3 linked regions of the Notamacropus eugenii genome follow. The protein of the gene in region 1 interacts with the protein of each later gene in a biochemical or structural test. Links are inferred from orthologs where the notes say so. Each region holds a gene or a part of one and is shown on either strand. Other genes may lie near its edges. The genes, in order: KBTBD8, TCOF1 and NOLC1.

What was found.
Region 2: the proteins of KBTBD8 (region 1) and TCOF1 form a complex in vitro, tested with the Homo sapiens proteins (2 studies listed by BioGRID, with this or other methods). The link is inferred for Notamacropus eugenii from reciprocal best matches to the Homo sapiens genes KBTBD8 and TCOF1.
Region 3: the proteins of KBTBD8 (region 1) and NOLC1 form a complex in vitro, tested with the Homo sapiens proteins (2 studies listed by BioGRID). The link is inferred for Notamacropus eugenii from reciprocal best matches to the Homo sapiens genes KBTBD8 and NOLC1.

Annotation. Positions count from the first base shown.
Region 1 is NC_092874.1:456,875,743-456,879,489, forward strand, and holds the start of KBTBD8 (kelch repeat and BTB domain-containing protein 8), read right to left. Parts: upstream 2,513-3,747; 5' UTR 1,769-2,512; coding exon 1,754-1,768; intron 700-1,753; coding exon 666-699; intron 347-665; coding exon 133-346; intron 1-132. UniProt on the Homo sapiens protein: Substrate-specific adapter of a BCR (BTB-CUL3-RBX1) E3 ubiquitin ligase complex that acts as a regulator of neural crest specification.
Region 2 is NC_092872.1:378,243,984-378,247,730, reverse strand, and holds the start of TCOF1 (treacle protein), read right to left. Parts: upstream 2,799-3,747; 5' UTR 2,667-2,798; coding exon 2,559-2,666; intron 1-2,558.
Region 3 is NC_092872.1:180,294,710-180,298,456, reverse strand, and holds the start of NOLC1 (nucleolar and coiled-body phosphoprotein 1), read right to left. Parts: upstream 2,574-3,747; 5' UTR 2,393-2,573; coding exon 2,273-2,392; intron 759-2,272; coding exon 703-758; intron 611-702; coding exon 480-610; intron 333-479; coding exon 199-332; intron 1-198. UniProt on the Homo sapiens protein: Nucleolar protein that acts as a regulator of RNA polymerase I by connecting RNA polymerase I with enzymes responsible for ribosomal processing and modification.

The sequences.
Region 1 (3,747 bases):
CACGTCCCCTCGTCTCCCCCCACACACCCGCCGGCCTCCACTCTCCCCCGCGCCCCAGAACCCGGCGCGCCACGCAGCAGGCGCTTCGTACAGGCGCTCCCGGGGGTAAACTGAGGCAGCGGGCGCGGCTACCTGAAGTAGGGGCTGATGGCCGCCAGCACGTTGCGGTGGCACGAGAAGGTCTTGCCGTGGTCCACCTCCACGACGATGTCGGTCAGCTGGCCCTCGTCGTACATGGTCTTGAGCTGCTGCAGGATGCTGCACGCGTGGGCGGCGTCCACGGGCCCCGGGCCGGCCACGGGGGGCGCGGGCGGGGCGCCGTTCGGCGGCGGACACTTACTGGCATCTGCGGGAGAGAGAGCGCCACAAGCCCCGGGTTCCGCGCGCGCCCGAGGCTGGGCCGGGCCCACGCGCGCCCCGGGGCGCGGCCCCGACGGGCCACGGACGCGCGCGGCGGGGGGCGGGGGGCGGGGCGGGGGGAGGACGCGACGCGGACGCGCGGGGCCCCCGCGGGCGACCGGACGGGCTTCGGCGGCCGTCGGGGCCCACGGGAGTCGCGGGGGAGGGAGGGAGGGAAAAGGGGAGGCCCGTGCCCTCCGCCAAGCCCGCCCCGGACCGCCCAACCGCCGCCCCGGCCGCTCCCCCCACCCCGAGGCAGCACCTACCTCCCGTCGCGGCCATGTCTCGGAGGGGCCCCGGCTCGAGCGGAGTGAGGAGAAGAGAGAAAATGTCATTTCGTTTCCCCTGCTCCCCCCGGTTCCGGCTCGTCAGCGAGCTTCGAAGCCAATGGGAGGCCTCGGAGCCCAGGCCCCGCCCCCGAGCCCAGCGCCTCGGGTACCGATTGGTCGCAGGCCGCCGAGGTGCGTGTCGGGAAATGTAGTCCGGTTCAGCTCAACCCCGCGTGGTCGCTGGGAGGCGGAGGCAGTACCGGCGGAGGCCGGACTGCGGCGTGGGCATGGGGCCTGTCAGGGGGTGGGCCGAGTCGTCCTCGGGTTAGGACGCACTCCATACTCCTGGCTCACACCAGAGCTCCACGCATTGGGATCCGCGCGGTCCCCTCGGATCCCCCCCGCTTCCCAGGGGCTGGGCACCGCAGGTGTCACCCGCTGGACGGGCGAGGAAACTGAGGCCTAGGCCGGGACCTCGCGGTCTGCGTTGGGGATGGGGTGGGGCCAAAGTGGGAGCGCCCTGAGGGCCGCGGCGCGGGAGGACGTGGGCGCAGCCGCCGTGGGCAAGGCGCCGCGCTCCGGCCGGCCCTTCCGCGGAGGGGCCCCCAAGGCGGGGGAGGCTTCGGGGGACTTCCCCCTTGTCGGCTCACGGTTACCCCGCCTTCCCCAAGAGGAAACCGAGGCCGAGCTGAAGTCGGGCCTCGCGACTTCCCCCGGGGGCGTCCGACGCAGGACTGGCCCCAGGCCTGCCTGGCAGCCGGACGGGACTTCCTTCCCTGAGTCACCGCCCCTCCTACCCGCGGCCGCCGATGCGAGGGGGCCCAGCCTCCCCGAGACACCTCCAACTGGAGCCCGGGGTCACCTGCCCCTCCCCCCGCCCGCCCCAGAGAGAGTGATCCGACGTGCCATCTGTGCCACCAAGTGAAACCGCCTGGCACCGGCCTAAGTTCCGAGCCATCAAAGCTGAGCCCCGTAGATGGAGACAAACCTCCCCCTCCTGTTTAGAGCCCCTAAAAATAAACATGAAGGAATTAAATATGTCCCACGGGAACTTGGGAGGAGCCCCTTCCTTCCTGGATGTTTACCTGCGATCCTTTCATTAGCCGTCCTGAGGCTTGCCTTGGCTCCCCAGGCAGCCTGTCCGGGGCTAGGGGAGAGTTTGTGAACGAGAGGGACCCTGGACTGAGGCCAGCCGCCCCCTCCTCTTAGATTCATGGCTGCGATATTTCCCTAGATCTGTCCTCTTATGGAGGAATGCCAGTCGCGACTGGTCCAGCCCTGCCCAGCCTGTTCGGCTTCTGCCTTTGCCCTCCCCTACTGCCTCCCAAGGAACGACACCCAACGTGCTGGAGGGCGCTTTTAGCATTTCACGGATACTGCTGCAGTCGTGCATGTAGCTGACCTTCCTTCACAAATCGTTGGGAGCTTGAGGCAGGCTTTTATGCGGAGCCCAGGCTCCTGGCTCTCCGATCGGAGAAGATACATTTGACTTGGATTCCGATTTTGCTTCTGATACGCTGTGAACACTGGAAAGTCACAGCCTCTCTGTTCCTTAGTTCCCTCGTCCGTAAAGTGAAGTTCGTACTGACAGTACCTCCCTCGCAGGCTGGCTTGTGAGATTCAAGTGAGATGATACATGTCAAGAGTTTTGCGCATTTAAAAATGTATATAAATGTCAACTCTTGTTACAGTTATCCCATGTACCGAGCAGTAAGATACTTTTTGTGCTTGGCAAGTGGAATAAAGATACATAATATATAAAATGTGTTCTATGTAGATAGTGTTACACTTTAAATCTGTATTATGTTTCTTTGCTTTGTTACTCAGCATTATAAAATACAATTTATCATTACTGAGTATTTACTTAGCTCTTTCTAGGTCCATGGCCCTGATTTATCTAACTATTGCTCCTAGCAAATCTATTTTTAAGACTTTCATAAACTTAACAAGTCACATTTATATAGTGCTCTCCTCCCGACAGCTCTGTGAGGTAGGGAACAAGTTTTTGTTGATTTTTTTTAACCTAACATTCAGTTCATTGCCAAAGAAAAATCCATGCAGAGCAACACCTATTTATGCAACTCAAAGGCTTAAGGTGTTAACTTCCTCCAGAGGCAGAGTGACTTTCCCAGGGTCATATAGCCATAGAAGCTGAATCTGAACAAAGGTCATCATGATTCTGAGTCTGGCTCTCTATCCACTGCGCCACAAGGTCTCTCTGAACAAGTATTATTATGTCCTTTTTTGTTGTTCAGTCGTTTTAAGTCACATCTGACTCTTCATGACCCCATTTGGGGTTTTCATGGCAAAAGATACTGGAGTGATTTACCATTTTCTTCTCCAGCTCAATTTTAAAGATGAGGAAGCACAGGCTAACAGGGTCACACAGCTGCTGAGGGTCTGAGGTCAAATTCAGACTCATCCAGGTCTCCAAAACCTCCAGGTCCCAGTACTCATTCCCCTAGAGAACATAACACTGTCATTCTCTATTTCCCAAGTATCCATGGGTTCCCAATCAAAATTATTATATTAAGGAAAATGAATGGAAAAGTCTAATTTCATTCATTCTATTTTTAACTTCTTTGGAGTCAGGTCTAAAACTAAATGTGAGTCTTGCACTTCCTACTTATTAGCTAAAGGACTTGGGTGATATTCATCAATTAATTTCAGAAAAGACTCTGTGTTCTCTGTTCCCCTAGTGATGCGGGTTGGGGGGTGGGGAGGTACTAGGGCTTGTAAAAGCAAACCTAAAGTAAGTATAAAAAAGAACAGGACATAATATTACTGCTTTGCTAATGACTATGACACTCTTAATAGGGCTAAATTCTGATGAGATCAAAGATCATATATTACTCGTTGTTAGAATTATATAGTTTTTAAATCAAAAATAGATAAGAGGATAATAAAATCTAACCAACAAACAACTGTTCTCTGTGACCTTTAAGGATACAAAGAAGGTCCTGTTCCATTGTGGACACTAAATAGCACTAGACAGCCAGCTTTGGTTTGAGGCAGTTCCAGCCAATGAGCTGTAAAGGCAAGCAGTAAAAGTCAACCAGGTTTCATCTTAATTAACTAA
Region 2 (3,747 bases), on another chromosome or scaffold:
TAGGTGGGGGAGGGGTCGGAGAGAGGGAGAGAATTTGGAACCTGAAATTTAAAAAGAAAAGAATGTTAAAAATAATAAATTTGATTTTAAAAAAAAAGAAGTGGGCTTTAAAGGATGGGTAACAATAGCAAGCGTAATTTATTAAGTGCCTACTATATGCTAAGTGATAAAGACAGGAAAAAAGCAAGTAATGGTGGGGGGAGTGCGACAGGCAAACAACTATGTACAAACGAGTTATATGCGGCGCACACCGGAGACAATCCACTGGGCGAAAGCACTAACATTACTGTGCACTGGAGGTAAGGGTTTTAGCTGAGGCATGAAGTAACCCAGAAAAGTCAACAAGTTGGGATAAAGAGGCTGGGGTATTCCAGGCACAGGAGACAGGTAAAGAAAATGCAGATGACTGGGAGATGGAATGTCTGGTGAGAAGAACAGGGAGGAGGCCTGTGTCCCTGGGATACAGGATATGGGATGTAGTGTAAGGCGTAAGAAGACTGTAAAGGTCAGACAGGGCCAGGTCGTGAAGGGCTTCAGGTAGCAATCAGCCTATTTTATATTTAATCCTGGATGCCATAGGGAGCCCCTGGAGTTTATTGAATGGGATGGAGGATGAGTTCAAGAGGTCACTTTGATAGCAGAATAAAAAATTAACAGATAAAAGAGGATAAAAAGAAGAAGGCTAAGGGTATGTCAGACCTCCAGAACAAGCATCCCATTCAAACAGAGCAGTAGTTCAAGTAAGTACCCTGAAGGAACAGAAGGTACATGGGCATACTTCTTCAGTAAGGATTAAGCAACTATTATGCAGCATGTATTTCCCTAGGTTCAGGGGATTTTGAGGGGGAGGGAGAGGGAGAGAGATACAAATATTAAATAGTAACTGTTTCTCTTTTACCCAGGAACCCTGAGGGTCTTCCCTTCCCAGTTTCACTTTTTTTTTTTTTTGATACAAAATAACTGGGGCAGGGAAGGAAAGATCCTAAGGAGATGGGCAGAGAAGGTAAGGGGTATGGGCTAACTGGAAAGTTCTCTCCAAGGAATGAAATTCAGGATGAAGTCCAATGCTAATAAGGGATCCTGACAGCATGGAGTGGTAGGTAGCATGATGGACCTAAGAGTAAGGAAGAATTGGGTTCAGTTCCATGTCTGACAGTTGGGGGATCATGGGCAAGTCACAACTTCTATGAACCTTGATTTCCGCATCTGTGAAATGGGACTAAAATCTGTAATACCTACCTTACAGGGTTGTTTCAAAGATTAAATAAGACAGTTAGCCTGTAAAGTGTCTTGTGAAGAGACCTGGCTTCTAGTTCCCCATCTGCTCTCTTTGTCTGGAGCTCAGATTTTTATTCTCTAGGATGAGACTAGGAAGTCTCTACCAAGGTCCTTTCTGGCTAAAACAATCAGAAAGAAACAGTTTTGGAAAACTGAGCGGGAATAAGGAAGTACAAAGGAACCAGAGCCCTTAGTTAACTACGGGGTCTTTTCAATGTAAACCTTCCTTTTACATATGAGAAGACAGCCCAAGGCAGAGGAAGTCTTATCACTTGTAAGCAATTTACCCTAGACCATAATTAAACCCCAGGACTCCACTGGGTAAAACCCAAGACCATTGCAATGCGTATTTTGGAAAGAATGTCACCAGAGAACATCCTTCCCTTGCCACACTCTTCCGCATTCAGAGAAGGGCCCTGGGAGGTAATTAATCTAATCTAATCCTTTCTATTTTACAAGTGAGAAAACAGAGTTTCAAACAAGTTAAGTAACTGATCCAGTCATACACTAAGTATGGAGCAGTGCCGGGTGTGTCTAGCCCTCAATCCAGGGCATTTTTCACTTTGCCACGCTGCAACTCAGTAGGTAAAGTTAGGAGGAGGCCCAAAGGAAGAACAAGAACTACCCAGAGATCTGCCTTCCTAGCAAAGAGAGCCAGACAGCCATGTAGGAACAGAACCTTCTCAGCGTCTCCCTCCCAAGATCTGCTAGTGATCTAGCAGCACGTGTCAGTTCCAGGAAACATGGCCAACCTTTCCTGACATCTCTAGTGGATACACGCTTCCTGTCTTCCCCTCGTGCACACGCAGGGCTCGGACACCGCTATCAGCTGCTGTAATGACAGGGTTCAGATTGGGGCTTATCCCATACATGCCGAGCAGAGTTACAGGGCAATTACCAGCCAGTTCTTCAATAGGCTTTTCCTGTTCCTCTTCACCCTGGCCATCCACACTGTCCCTCCTTTCCGGTTATCCCTCTGCCATCTTCTGCTTAGCAAGTCATTCCACAGTAACTGAAAACATGCTATCAAGTATTTCTCCAAGGGCTGAGGCCACAAGCCGTGCAGGATGAACCCAGTAAGGGGGACTTCAAGACATGAGGGCATCACGATTCTGGGCTGTCTGGTGTGACAGGCGAACCCCGGGGATGCTGCCAAGCTGCCCCCTTCTCCCAAGCCTGTCCTGGAAGCTCTGCCGGGCTCGGCAGCGATCCGATCGGGGACTAGACAGGTGGCCACGAGGGTCCCTTCCCTCCCTCCTCCCTCCCTGCCTCCTCCTCACCTGGCCGCTCTGCAGCTTCACCTCCCGCGCCGCCCTCACGTAGCCAGCCTGCACCAGGTGGTGGTGGATGAGCGGCAGCAGCTCCCTCCGCTTTCGGGCTTCGGCCATGTCTGCGAGGCTGGACAGCGGCGGGTGCTGTCGGGCCCGGACGCACGAGGACCGAAGGTTTGCTGCAAATCGGCTCCGGCAGGCTCGCGCGCACAACTTTTCCCCCTCGTCTCCGCCCCTCCGCCCTTAGACCTCACTCTACTACTTCCGACTTCCCGAGAGTCTTATCCTGGCCTTGGGTTGTGCTGGGAAATGTAGTTTCTCTGGGGCCCTGGGTTGAGGCTCAGAGCGCTCCACCCGGCTGGGGAGAAATGGGGGCGGTTCTCCGGGGACTGTTGGCCATGGCGCTCGGGACAGAACGTCAGACTTTTCCTGATAAACAGACTACAAGCTCCTTGAGGGCACGCACTGCCTTTTGCCTCTTTGTCTATCCCCACCTTTATAGCATAGTGACAGGCACTTAGAAGTCGCTTAGTGATTATTGATTATTGATTGATTGGCACTTATACTAGGTGCTTAGTAAAGTGTATTGATTAATTGAAAATAAGCTTTTATTGCTATCTTTTTTTTTTTGCATGATCATAATTGTCCCAAGTATCCTCCCTCCCAGAGAGCTATCCTCCTATAACAACAAATGGAATTTTTTTTTTTGAGAAAAAACCTGTACAGGTTGTTGTGTTTCTCCTTCGTTCTCCAAGAGGACCATGACATCAAGATGATGACATGACTTGCAGTTGACTTTCATTTGAGTGAGGGAGGGCTGTGCAGTCACCAGCCTCACTTTCTCCTCTGGAGCTATCTGGGTCCAGTGAGCTGATATTCTTCAGGACAGCTGGAGATGGCCTAGGATGCAGTGTGAGAACCTGGCCCTTTCAGGCTAAGGTCTTATCACATTCTCACTTTGAGTGAGATGCACCCATTCAATCAATAGGCTTCTTTAAGTAGTTACTCAAAGGATGGAGGCTTTAATAAAAAAAAAAAAAATCAGACTGGGAGGGAAGACCCTCAGGGTTCCTGCGTAAAAGAGAAACAGTTACTATATGGTAATTATGTTGGCTTTGTGCTAGGTGGGTGGGGACTTGTACAGTCTATAACCTCCAACTTATCGATACATTGTAAAGTCTGAAAATAAGTGTAACAT
Region 3 (3,747 bases), on another chromosome or scaffold:
AGTGTTCAGCAAAAGGCTTTGGGGTGTCCAGACAAGGGCGCCCTAAAACAGAACAACATGGAGAATCCTCTTCCCACCAGCCTGACCCCACCCAGAACAAGTTCAGTTTGGAAAGATTTCCTTTCTAATGGCATCTCTGAATCAAGCAGACACAGATTTCTGCCCCTAGTTCCTCTCCTGAAACCCATATATTTCAACCTGGGCAGACTTCTTCTGGCTTCCAGTGTCTTCTTCCTCACTGGAGTCCTCACTGCTACTACTACTACTCTCTGCTGCTTTGGCAGGAATGGTTGACTTCAAAGGCTGAGTGGATGTACCAGGTGGCTTGGTGGCTGGGGAAGAATATGGAATTGGTGAGAATTAGGCCTCTGGACAAGGGGAGTATTCCCAAGCGAGCAAGAAGAACCTTCATGTGCTTTAGCTAGAAATCAAACACATGGAAAGAACACCCCCTCCACTCCCAAAAATTCATCCCTCACCTAATTTTTTGGTTGGAGGCTGTTTGGCCTCTCCTTTATGACTGCTGTCGCCAGAAGCAGTGGATTTCTTAGCTTTCTTTGCTACTGGTCCGTTAGCCTGCAACTTGCGCTTCTGAGCTTTGGAAGACCTACTGGGTGAAGAAAAGGCAAAATGAACTTTGAGAAGGGGCTGGCCTATGAGACACCAAGGAAGAGAGAGCCGAAGGGTGCAGAAGGGACTTACTTGAGCCAGAAACTATAGATGTCCAAAAGGGAAGTGGCATTGGGGTCCTGTTGGGCCTGCAAGGACGGAAAGAGGTAGAGCTGATATCCCTAAAATGCTGGAATTTTTGCAGTCACATCCACAAAGTTCTATTAAGTTAGTCTACTCTTACAACCTGGGCTTTTTTTGATCCCAACATGTTTTTAGCTAGTCTTCCCAGCCTCATATCATCTGCAAACCCGAAGCATGCTACAATGTTTTCATACATATAAATTAAAATTACTGAACACTTACTAAGTACCTACCATGTTCAAGCTGCTAAGGATATAACAACAAAGAAGATACAGACTCTGCTTTGTAAGGAACTCACAATACATTTTGATACAAGGAATTGTATAATAGGAACAAAAGAAGGGTCCAGGCAAAATTATAACTATATTAAAAGCTTCAATTAATTGACAGTTACAAAGGGGCAGACCCAAGGAAAGCTCCACTGCAGCATGGCATCTAAGCTAGGCCTTGAAGGGAGAATGTGAACAAAGCCACTGAAACAGGAAACAGCAAGAAAATGGGGGATGGAGAACAATCCAAGCTGGCTGGGACGTAGAATAACAAGTCACATTTATATTGTGCTTAAAGTTAACAAAGCACCTTCCCTACACCCTATGAGGTAGTAAGCTCAAGTATTGCCTTTTACAATAGAAAAAACAAGCTCAGAAAAGTTGAGTAACTTGTCCATAGCCACAAGTCAGAGGCAAGACATAAACTTGTAACTCAAAACTCAGCATCTTTTCTTCTGTTGCACATTCTGGGATTGCAAATCAAGAGCAATTATTATGAAGCACAAATTTCTACAAATCTTATAAACTTTAAGCCTGGTCCACCAGAAAAATATGCATGATTTCTTCTTGCTGGGGGGTGGAGGGTGAATACAGTGGGAAAGAGAGAAAATACAGTGGTGGGTCCTTGGTAGAGTCAGATAATTCAAATGCACTGAAAAGATTATTCAAGGAGAAAGTGGAAGATTCCAGGTGGAAACACGACTTAGAATGGTGTATCACTGATCAGGGTGAAACATCAACCTGAAGTATTTATTATGTACTAACTATGTGCCAGACAGAAGGCTGGGGACACAGGCACAAAAATGGAGCAGCCCCTCACTTCAAGGAGCGCACGTGCTAAGTGACTGGCTGCAGTGGAAGTGGAAAGGTCGGCGTGTAAAAGCTGTAACTGATAAAAAAACACACGAACCAGAACCGAGCCGGGGTCGTCCCCCTTAGCTGCCCCTGGAGCATCATATGGATCTGACTCTTCTTAAGGGCTCCCCTCCCCCACCGCCTCCACAAACTAAGACCCATACTGACCGGTCCTGCAGCCTTGCCTCGATTTACCAGGAGAGGCTTCTGTGACCACCAGAGCGGGCATTAAGCCCATGACCCCAACGCCAGGTGCCAGGGATCGCCCTACCCGGGCCCCCCTTTCCCGGGGCCCACGAGGGCCCCCTCCCCCCTAGGCCCGGGGGACCACGTGCTTTCCTCTCCCCTCGCCCGGTGCTCAGATCGCCCTCCTCCCCGAGCGCGGGGGGACTCACGGTGCCCGTGGCCTTAGCGAATTTGCTTGCCGCCTCCGGAAACTGGTTGTCGCGCAGGAAACCGAGCACGAGAGGGAACAAGTCGCTGGGCACCACGCGTAACACCTCTTGCTCCGCCATCCTCCAGGTCCGAATGCGTCACCGGCGCGACTCAGGGCTGCACGTCGCGCATGATGACATCACTCCGGCATGGTGAGGGTGAAGGGAACCGGATGTGGCGTCACGGCCAAGCGCCGGAAAAGGCGGGGACTCGGGCCCGCCCGCCCACTCCTAGAAACCTTCCTTTCCCTTTCCCTTTCCCTTCCCTCCCACCCCGGGTCCCACCCCGGATATCTCGGGAAAGAAAAAGTCCGGTCGAACCACTCCGCGGGTCTCGTCTGGTGGGTGAAGGCGGGGCAGGGGCGTCGTGGCTCCGCCCATTCCTGCCGCTTTGGCGGGAAAGCTCCACTCCGGCCCCCGCCTCCGGTTTGCCGGGGCTGGGGCGGGGCGGAGCGGGCCTGTCTTACTGCTGGTTTAGCCAACAACGATTTGGGTCCTTTCGAGCCACAGCTGCTTAAGCTCCCCAGGCCTCCTTTTCCTCCATTGCAAAATGAGGGGGTGGGGCTTCAGGGGCCGGGGGCTCCTTTGGGGGCAGCCGTCCTCCCTGCACCCCCAAACTGAGGGGCGAGGTGTGTACGAGCAAGGCCCCCTGGGGTCCGTGAGAAGAGCCGCCCCCCCCCCAATGCTTCCCGCACTGGGCCCCGCGCATCCCGAGTCCCAGCTGACTTGGCTGGCTGCTCTTGGGAGATCCGGCGGTTCACGGGCCTTTAAAAAAAAAGCCTGTTTTTCAGTTGCAAATGACAAATTAAATTGAAAATATATGGTCATGCAAAACAAATTCTCCTGTTACTCTGGAGAGAGAGGGGACAGAAATAATAGCTACCATGTAGCACTTGATGTTCCACCCGTCCCTCCCAAGCCTACCAGACAGGCACCATTATCATCTCCGTTTTAAAGATGAGACTGAGGCAGCCAGGTGAAGTGTCTGGCCTGGGGCACACACGAGGGGGTTGTCGGCTTTATTCCCAGCACTCTACACCGCCCAGTCTCCAGGTTCGGGGGGTACATGGCTTTTTCATCCCCAGGCCTTCGCAATTTTGGCTGCTCGTTGTGTTCGTCAGAATTCCTACGTCTTTCAAAGCTGATTTTTATAATCCTGCTATTATCGCCTTCCTTTTTCTCCTCGTTCTGCTCACTTTACTTCCCTTCCGTTCACGCGAGCCTCTGCTGGTTCCTCTGAAACCTTCCCCTTCATCGTTTCTTGCTGCCCAAGGTTATATTCCATCACGCTCACACCCCATAACTTGTTGGCCGTTCCCCAGTGGAGAGGCGTCAGCTCAGTTTCCAGTTACTGGTCACTACAAAAAGAGCTACTACAAGTAGTTTTGTACGTATGGGTCCGTTTCCTCTTTCTTTTTGACCTCCTTGGACCTAGT